3 linked regions of the Oryzias latipes genome follow. The protein of the gene in region 1 purifies or fractionates together with the protein of each later gene. This does not show direct contact. Links are inferred from orthologs where the notes say so. Each region holds a gene or a part of one and is shown in the gene's direction. Other genes may lie near its edges.

What was found.
Region 2: the proteins of mitogen-activated protein kinase kinase kinase kinase 5 (region 1) and nudc purify together in Homo sapiens (affinity purification with mass spectrometry; 3 studies listed by BioGRID and IntAct, with this or other methods). This does not show direct contact. The link is inferred for Oryzias latipes from reciprocal best matches to the Homo sapiens genes MAP4K1 and NUDC.
Region 3: the proteins of mitogen-activated protein kinase kinase kinase kinase 5 (region 1) and hsp90ab1 purify together in Homo sapiens (affinity purification with mass spectrometry; 3 studies listed by BioGRID and IntAct, with this or other methods). This does not show direct contact. The link is inferred for Oryzias latipes from reciprocal best matches to the Homo sapiens genes MAP4K1 and HSP90AB1.

What each region holds. Positions count from the first base shown.
Region 1 is NC_019871.2:4,865,049-4,867,972, forward strand, and holds the end of mitogen-activated protein kinase kinase kinase kinase 5, read left to right. Parts: intron 1-184; coding exon 185-277; intron 278-500; coding exon 501-627; intron 628-1,839; coding exon 1,840-1,936; 3' UTR 1,937-2,390; downstream 2,391-2,924. UniProt on the Homo sapiens protein: Serine/threonine-protein kinase, which plays a role in the response to environmental stress. Appears to act upstream of the JUN N-terminal pathway.
Region 2 is NC_019869.2:25,831,716-25,835,896, forward strand, and holds the start of nudc (nuclear migration protein nudC), read left to right. Parts: upstream 1-1,373; 5' UTR 1,374-1,495; coding exon 1,496-1,570; intron 1,571-2,507; coding exon 2,508-2,585; intron 2,586-2,661; coding exon 2,662-2,874; intron 2,875-2,956; coding exon 2,957-3,031; intron 3,032-3,106; coding exon 3,107-3,220; intron 3,221-4,181. UniProt on the Homo sapiens protein: Plays a role in neurogenesis and neuronal migration. Necessary for correct formation of mitotic spindles and chromosome separation during mitosis. Necessary for cytokinesis and cell proliferation.
Region 3 is NC_019882.2:5,881,985-5,886,293, forward strand, and holds the start of hsp90ab1 (heat shock protein HSP 90-beta), read left to right. Parts: upstream 1-1,360; coding exon 1,361-1,510; intron 1,511-1,591; coding exon 1,592-1,798; intron 1,799-1,901; coding exon 1,902-2,061; intron 2,062-2,149; coding exon 2,150-2,283; intron 2,284-2,364; coding exon 2,365-2,667; intron 2,668-2,737; coding exon 2,738-2,903; intron 2,904-2,983; coding exon 2,984-3,174; intron 3,175-3,363; coding exon 3,364-3,511; intron 3,512-3,590; coding exon 3,591-3,859; intron 3,860-3,946; exon of another isoform or gene 3,947-3,973; intron 3,974-4,223; coding exon 4,224-4,309. UniProt on the Homo sapiens protein: Molecular chaperone that promotes the maturation, structural maintenance and proper regulation of specific target proteins involved for instance in cell cycle control and signal transduction. Undergoes a functional cycle linked to its ATPase activity.

The sequences.
Region 1 (2,924 bases):
TGTCATTCCTGTGTAGTGTCACTCTAATTCAGATTTGTTGGATTCTCACACATTTTGTTAAAGTTTCAAGTTCTGAGCTTTTGCTCCCCTGTGAGATGCAACAGTGAGGATACCGTAGATCATTTAAAGCTTCACTCACAGCTTTTTGAGAAACTTGATGTTTGACCACGTCTCTCTTCCACAGAGTCGGTCCTTTGTGTTGGTCTGAACGGAGAGGTGAAGAACCTCCATCATCTTCCTCAGCAGACCACTTTCTTCCATGAGATTGAATCTATAGGTAAGAACAAGCAGCTTCAAACTGCAGGTGATTTCTTGCTGTAATTCTTTCCACAAGTGCTTTTTTTTTTTTTGGTTTAGTTACCTGGAAATTTTTAACAATCTGACGTTTTGTTATTTATAAGAGTGGGACATTTAAGATGTATAATTTGGCTTTAAACGTTATTAAACAAGCGGTTGGAGATCCCGTTTCTCCAGTTTTCTCACGGTTTTTGTCTCATCAGTGTTTTTTGAAGACACCCTCCTGACAGTTTGGCGCCATGGTTGGCAGAGGAGAGGAAAAGGTTTCACGGAGGTGCTGGAGGAATTGACTGACCCCCGAAAAATCTACAGAATGGTGAAGTCCCACAGGTACAGCTTTGGACATCTGTTGCTTTCACGTTAGCATAATTCGAGCAGCATTTCTAGAAAGTTGGTACAGTCCGTCTAACGGTCCTGTAAGGCAATGGTCCCCAACCCCCGGGGCGGCAGACCGGTACCGGTTCGTGGGTCATTTGGTACCAGGCCGCACAGAAAGAATAAATAACTTACATTACTGCCGTTTTATTCATTTCAGAATCTGAAAGATGTTTTATTTTGAAAAATCGCCTGATTCTCTTTTACATCCGCTAAAAAAAAAAACCAGGCGCTAGCAAAATGAGTAAAAAACAAACGTCTTTGGAAAGTTTATTTGCCAAGGGGAAAAGACCCAGCCAGGAGACAAAGAGGAGCCTTCGACTTTCAAAAACAAAAGCTACATTTAATAGACAGTACTTCATTTTTGCACCATGAGTGTGGGAAGGGGAGAGGATGATGACACCTGTGCGATGTACGAAAACATGCCTATTTATTTAGAGGCTCAGAGCTCGTCTTATCACGTCTCTGTTCCTCCTTCATCGTAGCGTTGCTGCAATAATCCTCCGCCACATCTTAAAGATGCTTTGTAAAAAGGAGTCAAAGCTTTGTATGACGTCATACCGGTCCGCGGCGTTAAAACGGTTGGGGACCACTGCTGTACGGTGATTCAAATAATTCATTATTTCTATTTCTTGCTTCTAAAGACCATAAGCTTGTATTTTTATAGACAAGAAAGTATATTTATGTGCTGACAAACTCATTCATCTTCTAAATACCTCAAAGATTTAAGTAAGTAAAACATGAAATTCATTTGGATCTTATTGATTTGAGAATTTTTTTTGTAATAAAATGTACTAAAAATCAAAATATCACCAAGATGCCAGCCATATGATACAATATAAAAGAAACCCTCATAACACTCCTATTATTTAATCAACAATAAAATAAAGATAATAAAAGTCTGTTGTAAGTATGGTTGCTAAGTCAAATATGATTATTTACTTTGATGTAGAGACACAGAAATGTCTAATCATGTTTATCAGTGGAAGACTAAACAATAATTCCGTGGTTGCTATGACCCATAATCCTTTGGGAGGATGTAACATCATTGTATCCTTTCATGACTAGACTTTAGTGCTGACATTAGTGGCGTAAAGAGAGGTTTGATTTTTGGTGTCTAAACGTCTGGACCATCTCTGCATAAAAATGGGACTTCTCTCACTGCAGGACCGTCGTCATGGAAACCCATCCAGTAGAGGACCAATCAGGTCTGTCCAACCTGTACGTCCTGGAAATCGCTGAGAAGTATGTGCTGCTGCCATGACCCAGTGCATCATGGGAAACTCCCCACGTTGGAGACTGGCACTGTCAGCCGTTGAAGGGAGACAAAAACAGGAGGCCTTGACATTCTTTCAACGCAGATGCGACCATACCTCTGGATTCTACCTGCTAACCTGTGGAGAAACCCGATGAGATCGTAGTGTCCCCCTCATCCCTATGTTGCTGTTATTTATGCTGTTTTTGTTTTTCACTTGAGATCCAAAAAATGTGAGGAGTATTCCTGAGTCACGAAAAAAAAAAGTGTTGTGCTGACCCTGAAGAGTCACCGTCCTCCTGCCAAAGTATTATTGATCACAGCCTGCAGGGACTCATGCGGCCTCCTTGATGACAGAAGAACTTAAAGGAGCAGAGCCTGCTGGGGGCTCGTGCTGTGCTTTGTGACCTGAGCCTGTGTTCCTGCCATTACACTCAAATAAAGATCACACATTTGAAGGATGCTTGATTTGTACACATCTTTAATTAAATTGTTTGTCCACTTGAAGTGGAAAATAGTGAGAGTGATACCAAAATATGTGTCTCTCATAGCAATGGTAGTCTCATTTGAACAGTGAAAAACAGACACATCAGGAGGAATTTTGGTCCACTATTCTTTACAAATGACTTCTAAATCATTCAGATTTAGTGGCTGTTGCTTGGCATCTCTGAGCGTCAGCTTTTCTATAGGTTTTTTCTATAGGGTTGAGGTCCGGAGACTGTTTTGACCGCTCCGTGACCTTAAGCCATTCCTTGGTTGTCTTGGCTGTTGGTTTTGGGTCATTATCCTGTTGGAAGACTCACCCATGACCCACTTTAAGCCTCCTGGTGGAGGGAAGGAGGTTCTCACTCATGATTTGACAGTACATGACTCCGCCCATCCTCCCATCCACACGGTGCAGAGAAACACAGCCGAAAACATAATCCTTCCACCTCCATGCTTGACAGTGGGGGTGGTGTTCTTGGTGTCGTAGGCAGCCTTTTTCTCTTCCTCCAAA
Region 2 (4,181 bases), on another chromosome or scaffold:
ATGTTCAGAAAACCTCTGCATGAAAGGTTGATGAAGCTGAATGCAGCACAACAGTTTGTCTGCATTCTATGTTTTTCTTTGCTTTAAAATGTTTTCAATAACTTGTTGCTTTTAAATCTGTAAACTCTGATTAAGTGAAATAAATTAAGTGAAACTGGGAACTCTTTTACTTTTTGCTAAAAACTATAAGAATTATGTTTTTCATCCGATTTCAAAGAATTTTAGATAAATACTCAGTCTATTCCTAAATTTTAAAAAGCAACACAAAAGAAAATAGGGTTTTATTTGAATAAAACAGTTTGGCAAGACAATATGGTAGAAGTGTGGGCATGAAGAACTGCAGAAGAACAAAAGTTTGTACATATAGGTTTAAGGAAGAGGAGAAATTAATCTTTTTTTTTTTTAATTGTCTGTCAGTCTGCCTCAGAGCAGCAGTGGATACATCAGTAGTTACAACCAAGCATGAAGGAATAAAGGACCCATTATAAGCACTTTTACCGTCTGGAAAAGCACAGATAAGTCCAATCCATTATTATTATTACGTTTTTTATAAAATAAATGGAATTTCAGTGCAGCATGAAACCTGCCTGTCCTGTCCTGATGAAGAGCAGATGATGAGAGGACCTCCGCTCTGGGGTTTTCCATGTGAGCCTGGAGCTACAGCTGGAAGAACATAACCCTGTTTCACCTTTTGGAAAAATAAGTTTTCCAAAAACATAGTTTGTATTTAAACCGTGGTATGATGACGTCACGCCGCTGCCCATCACATCTGCTGCAGTGGTAAACAACAAACTCTACTGATGCATAAACCACAGGTTTTATCTGTAGAAGAAAATGTCTCCACAGCAGGTACTCGGACTAAAACACTCCAGACATTTTCAAAGAAATAAAAGAATAAGGATGTTGGCTCATAAATGATGTGCATGGAGTTCCTGTTTTTGTTAATAAAGACATTGCTTTTAACCAGTGAGTTTGTTTGGAAAGATCTGTTTAAAAAAGCTTTTACGGCAAATGATTTATTTTTATTTGACAAATAAACTATGCATTGTTTTAAGCATGGCTAACATGTGGCACATGTCAAGTTTAATGATCCTCCTCAAAACCATGGTTTTAACCCTTTTTCTAATACGTACACAAACTTAGAAAGGTATATTTTCCAAAACATGAAAACATTTTTTGAATATAAAATTATAGCGTCTAAAAATGTTTGAAGTAAAAATAGAATTTATCTATAGTTAAAACTGTCAGACTTTTAATCTAGAAGATTCCTTCCTGCGCAGGGAACTTCCGGTCCCGCCTGAGCGGAAGCTCGATCGGATTGGACATTTCACTTGTCATTTAAAAGGGATTGCTCCAATTGGTCAAATCGGCCATGGGCGGAGTTTTGTTTCCAGGAAGTGCCAAGCGTGATCAGAGCCTCTCACTGCCGCGCCGAGGGAAGTTTTCTCTTGTTTCTACCAAAAGTCTTTCTTCTTTTTCTGAATCCACCACCAACATGGGCGATGAGGAGGAGAAGTATGACGGCATGTTGCTGGTTATGGCGCAGCAGCACGAAGGAGGAGTGCAGGAGGTGCGTAGATCCGAGATGCTAACGCCGAAGCTAATCATGATGGGCTGAAATGCTGAGGAGCCGCAGCACCTGGTCAACATTGACACCGTTAGGAAGTCTGGAGGATTTTCAGTTTCAAATCCACATTGCTTTGAGCTCATTTAACTATTCTGCTATGAAAAAGTCGTTTCCTTACGGAGATCCCCACTAAACGTTCAGTTTCCTTCAATTTGATGTTTTTTGACCGGATACTATACCTGTGTATTCTCAGTAATGGACATAACATCTTTCAAAACTTTGCTCTTGAGAACCAGTAATTTAAATAAGCTTTACTTTAGAAATATCTTAACCTTATCATAATTGACCAGACATTTGTCTCTTTCTTAAAGTTCAGCTTTTTCAGCCTTCTTGGAGCATGTTTACGTCAGAAGTCCAGAGTTTTAGTCTGCAATCAGCCTCCAGTTAGCAGCTTTAGTTACTGACTGCAAAGCAATTCCATGTTCTCAAAAGGAAATTCATATATTTGTTCTTTTTCTGGACTAAATGACTGTTTTTCATCAACCTCAGTGGTGAATTGATTCATTTTTAAAATCTGAATTATAAAATAACCTAATAGGATTTCTGTCTGTTCCTCAATGTTAAATTCCTCATGTCAGATACTTGAAAAAATGACATCAAAATGACTATTTGACTGTATTGTGTGTAGCAGAAGTCTTTTTGCCCTTTGTGTGGTAAGTTAAGGTTTTGTTAGGAATAATCGTTGCTGGGGAAATAGAAAAAATATACTTTTTCTGAAACATTTGGAATGTTTAAATTTAAAGCCTGAGGCGACGGTTTAATCCCAAAGTGTCCAGGTGAGTTGGGTGTGGAGGACAGAGAGGCTTTGTGGTTGAGAGCTCTGCACCGTCCTCTGCAGAAAACCTTGGCCTGAGCTCACAGCCTGCTTTTGCTTCAACAGTTAGTGAACACGTTCTTCAGCTTCCTCCGACGTAAAACAGATTTCTTCATCGGAGGAGACTCTGGTGCAGCAGAGAAGGTGAGCGGAGCTTCTGCCTGTTGGAGATGGACGGACGTGTTGTCCTCCGTTCACCAGCCTCTCTGTCCTCTTTCAGCTGGTCAAAGAAGCCTTCGATCACCACAACAAGTTAGCCATGAAGGCCCAGAGGGAGAAGCAGATGAGACAGGAGAAGGAAAAGAAGGAGAAAGCTGAAAGAGCCGCCAAGCTGGCAGAGGAGGAGGAGGAGAGGAGGAAAAACCAAGATGGACCCAGAATTCAGGAACTGACAGACGAAGAAGCAGAGAAACTGCAGTCTGAGCTGGACAAAGTAAACTCTTTGATTCTTTATGAAGGTTGATTTAAAGAAAACAAGTTCCGCTGTGATGTTCACCTTTCTGTGTTTTTAAAAGCAAAAAGACGACGAAAAGGAGGAGGGACGAGCAAACGCAGAGAAAACGCCGGACAAGGCAGACAAAGAGAAGGGGGTGAGTGGCGCTCTGCTGGTGATGAAGAGGACAGCTTCATCTCAGGCTTCATCTCTGGCTTTTTCTGTGTTTCAGTCTGATTCTGAGGAAGAGGAGGACGAGAAGGACAAGGGAAAGCTGAAGCCAAACTCTGGGAATGGAGCAGATCTGCCCAACTACAAGTGGACGCAGACGCTGTCTGAAGTCGATGTGAGTTCTTCATGATTCACACACACAATACATAAAATGGTGAACGCATGGAAAGGAACACGAAGGCCCCCGTCACTAAAGGCTGAATCCGCCCCCGTCACTTAAGGCCGACTCCGCCCCCGTCACTTAAGGCCGACTCCGCCCCCGTCACTTAAGGCCGACTCCGCCCCCGTCACTTAAGGCCGACTCCGCCCCCGTCACTTAAGGCCGACTCCGCCCCCGTCACTTAAGGCCGACTCCGCCCACGTCACTTAAGGCCGACTCCGCCCACGTCACTTAAGGCCGACACCGCCCACGTCACTTAAGGCCGACTCCGCCCACGTCACTTAAGGCCGACTCCGCCCCCGTCACTTAAGGCCGACTCCGCCCCCGTCACTAAAGGCCGACTCCGCCCAGACAATAAATGCCGACTCCGCCCCCGTCACTAAAGGTCGACTCCGCCCCGGTCACTAAAGGCCGACTCCGCCCCCGTCACTTAAGGCCGACTCCGCCCCCGTCACTTAAGGCCGACTCCGCCCCCGTCACTGAAGGCCGACTCCGCCCCCGTCACTGAAGGCCGACTCCGCCCCCGTCACTGAAGGCCGACTCCGCCCCCGTCACTGAAGGCCGACTCCGCCCCCGTCACTGAAGGCCGACTCCGCCCCCGTCACTGAAGGCCGACTCCGCCCCCGTCACTGAAGGCCGACTCCGCCCCCGTCACTGAAGGCCGACTCCGCCCCGGTCACTGAAGGCCGACTCCGCCCCCGTCACTGAAGGCCGGCTCCTCCCCCGTCACTGAAGGCCGACTCCGCCCCCGTCACTGAAGGCCGGCTCCTCCCCCGTCACTGAAGGCCGACTCCGCCCCCGTCACTGAAGGCCGACTCCGCCCCCGTCACTGAAGGCCGACTCCGCCCCCGTCACTGAAGGCCGACTCCGCCCCCGTCACTGAAGGCCGACTCCGCCCCCGTCACTGAAGGCCGAC
Region 3 (4,309 bases), on another chromosome or scaffold:
CAGATATAGAGATTCTATACAAATACTTTTTTTTTTCAACAAAATTTTGACACATTTTTAGAATTTAGACAATTACTAAACGGAAGCTCGTAGATGTAGTTTTTGCTGTATCTTAAATAACCGCTAGATGGCAGCAAAAATCAAATACGATTGATTTTATTCTTAGTTTTGTTTTTAATATAATAAATTTATAACGTTTAGATTTTACCTCCTTGGCCAATCAAAATATTGTGCATGCTATTCCACTATAACTTTTTATCTGTTGATATAAATAATTACATATTTTTCTGGAGGAGCACAGTTAGTTCGAGAAGGAGCGCCGCGGAGGGATCTTGTCCTGCACTGAAACTCATGAGCATATAGATTCGGCGTGCAGCTCCAGAATCCTCCTTTCTTTTTCCTGCGTCAGTGAGCGGCAGGGATAGCACTTTTGTTGCATTTTATTCAAGAAAAGCCAACATAAGAAACAAGGTATGTCTTGGTAATTCACTTCATATTGAGGGAAACCAAACTTTAAATGGTTTATTATTATTCTACACCGAATGTTGAGTCATTTAACGGGTTTTTTTGTTATTTGATTTCGATTCACGTGGTTTGTTTAACCTTGATTCATCGATTAAAAGCATTTCTGACATAGCGGGTTTACTATTCTTAATTAGTAATGGGCTTTAGGTTAAATCTTGTACTAGTGACCGAAAATAAGTGGTGGGCTTTTGCCGCATCTTGTAGGCAGACAGAAGGTATGGAGATTTATTATTGTGAAGGTTGGTTGTACCTGACTGTTTAAAGAATAACATTACCATAGTTTAACGAGCGATTGACGTGTCTTTGTGTATATTTTGCCAACGAAGGATTCTAGATGGACTACTAGTTTAGAATCTTACACCCAGAGTGTGTACATCATGTACATCTTGCATAACCGACACAGGAGTGCTCGTGGTTTTTCGGGGTGATGGTAGTTTTGGGGGCTATTTTTTTGCAGTAAAGCTCCTGAGCGATAATCCAAAATCGTTCGATCTTGATATTCACGGAAGCTTCGGGTTTTTTCGGTTTTAGTCGGCACGTGCTTGCAGCGTCCATTGTCCATGCCTCGCCGCCATGTTTCGCTGCACTTCCGCCCGTATGTTGTAATCTGATGGCAGGGATCCGACTCTGAACCGGTTTCTGAATTGTGGTAGTTTATGGTTTAAAATTATTCATTAAAAAAAATTAAACTAAAAACTACAATCTTAGTAAAATAATTGGCAGTTTATTACCGTATTTTGCGTATTTGTAAGATGTTGTGCTTTTATTTTGGCGTTTCCTGTTGGTTCATCCCATTATTAGTCTGACGCTGTTTGTTGCAAACCTGTTATTTCTTATGCAGATGCCTGAAGAAATGCACCAAGAGGAGGAGGCTGAGACCTTTGCCTTCCAGGCAGAGATTGCTCAGCTGATGTCCCTGATCATCAACACCTTTTATTCCAACAAAGAGATCTTCCTCAGGGAGCTGATCTCCAATGCCTCTGATGTAAGTCTGCAGCAGTTTACGTAACATCGTATCACCTCTGTGTCAATACAGTGAAATATCTTGACGCTGAATTATTTTTAGGCTCTGGACAAAATCCGCTATGAAAGCTTAACTGATCCCTCCAAGCTGGACAGCGGCAAGGATCTGAAAATCGACATCATCCCCAACAAGGCTGACCGCACCTTGACCATTGTTGACACTGGAATTGGCATGACCAAGGCTGACCTTATCAACAACCTGGGTACCATTGCAAAGTCTGGGACAAAGGCTTTCATGGAAGCCCTTCAGGTATTAATATAAACAGGCATAAAGGGGAAAAATACATATACACATTTATATATTTTTTTAGCAGAAGTGAATACAAATTGTGGAACTTTGCCGTTTTCTTCAGGCTGGAGCCGACATCTCCATGATTGGTCAGTTCGGTGTGGGATTTTACTCTGCCTACCTCGTCGCTGAGAGGGTGGTGGTTATCACCAAGCACAACGACGATGAACAGTACGCCTGGGAGTCCTCTGCTGGGGGATCCTTTACCGTCAAGGTCGACAGTGGTATGGATCTTCAAATATTATAATTATGGTGCAACAAACTAAAATCTGACTGTGAAACATTTGTTAACCTCTACAACACTGTTCTCAGGCGAGCCCATTGGCCGTGGAACAAAGATCATCCTGCACCTTAAAGAAGACCAAACGGAGTACATTGAGGAGAAGAGGGTCAAAGAGATCGTGAAGAAGCATTCTCAGTTCATCGGCTACCCCATCACCCTCTTTGTAAGTGATTTGTTTGTTTTTTTACAAACATATTTCTCACTAATAGAAGCTTATGTGGAGTTGTACGTGGTTTATCTATAGGTGGAGAAAGAACGTGACAAGGAGATCAGTGATGATGAGGCAGAGGAGGAAAAAGAAGAGAAGGAGACCAAGGAGGAAGGTGAGGACAAGCCAAAGATTGAGGATGTGGGCTCAGATGATGAAGAAGACGCTAAAGACAAGGGCAAGAAGAAGAAGAAGATCAAGGAGAAGTACATTGACCAGGAAGAGCTGAATAAGACCAAGCCCATCTGGACCAGAAACCCTGATGACATCACGAGTGAGGAGTACGGCGAGTTCTACAAGAGCCTCACAAACGACTGGGAGGATCACCTCGCTGTGAAGGTAAAATAGAGGTTTGGGTGTCTTCTGATCGGCTGATGGAACCTCGTGCTGACGTGTGTTTCTCTTTTAGCACTTTTCAGTGGAAGGTCAGCTGGAATTCAGGGCTCTGCTCTTTGTTCCTCGTCGTGCACCTTTTGACCTCTTTGAGAACAAGAAGAAGAAGAACAACATCAAGCTGTACGTCAGGAGAGTCTTCATCATGGACAACTGTGAAGAGCTCATCCCAGAGTACCTGAGTAAGTTTTAAATCTCTGTTCCACCGGATCTGAAAGGAAATGCACAGCAGCTTTAAAACGTTTTTGTTTGTTTACAACAGACTTCATCCGTGGAGTGGTGGACTCTGAAGACCTGCCCCTCAACATTTCAAGAGAAATGCTGCAGCAGAGCAAGATCTTGAAAGTAATCCGCAAAAACATTGTCAAGAAGTGCCTGGAGCTGTTCGGAGAGCTGGCAGAAGACAAAGAAAACTACAAGAAATTCTATGAAGGTTTCTCAAAGAACATCAAGGTATCTCAAACATATCTGAAGCTTTTCTAAATGATGCCTATAAACTGATGGATTTTTTTTTTCCTGTAAACTTTTAAGGTGTGAAAATAAATCGACACATATTTAGCGTGAAGCCTTGGAATTGGGCAACGCTTGCTGCATTACCCAGAATTTAGTTGAGTAAATCGATCACAACTTTTATGTTCACAGCTCGGCATCCATGAGGATTCTCAGAACCGTAAGAAGCTGTCTGAGCTGCTGCGCTACCACAGCTCCCAGTCTGGAGATGAAATGACTTCCCTCACAGAGTACCTTTCTCGCATGAAGGAGAACCAGAAATCCATTTACTACATCACTGGTAGGTTTGGCTTCCAGTCCATATGTTCTTTTGTTGATTCTTTTGGCACGACTTAAGTTTTTGTTTTTTGCCTCTGAAGGTGAAAGCAAGGACCAGGTTGCCAACTCTGCTTTCGTGGAGCGCGTCCGCAAGCGTGGCTTCGAGGTCCTGTACATGACCGAGCCCATCGACGAGTACTGTGTTCAGCAGCTGAAGGAGTTTGATGGCAAGAACCTGGTTTCTGTCACCAAAGAGGGCTTGGAGCTGCCAGAGGATGAGGAGGAAAAGAAGAAGATGGAGGATGACAAGGCCAAGTTTGAGAACCTCTGCAAGCTCATGAAAGAGATTCTGGACAAGAAAGTAGAGAAGGTTGGTCTCAAATAAGAAACTGTGCTTTTGCTCCTCATTTCTTCACCATCATTTCCTTAACTTCAGTGGTGTTTTGTTTGGAAACAGGTTTCCTAGTGGTAACTACTTATATTGGTGAGTTCATACAGAGTAGAAGTGGCCTGTAGAGTTTCTAGCGTTGCCTGATATTTGAGTTGAAAGGGTTTGGTTTTGCAAGAGCCTGATAAGTCTGACAGCGACGTGAGTTCTAACAATGTTTGTCTTTTGAGGCTGTGTCTAACACTCGATGAAATCAGCATCACACAAACGGCCTGAACCGCATGCGTGTATTGCATTCCAGTGGTCGGTTTTCTCAAACCGATGCTTACCTTCATGCCTTCTACAGGTGACTGTCTCCAACAGACTGGTATCGTCCCCCTGCTGCATTGTGACGAGCACTTACGGCTGGACGGCAAACATGGAGAGGATCAT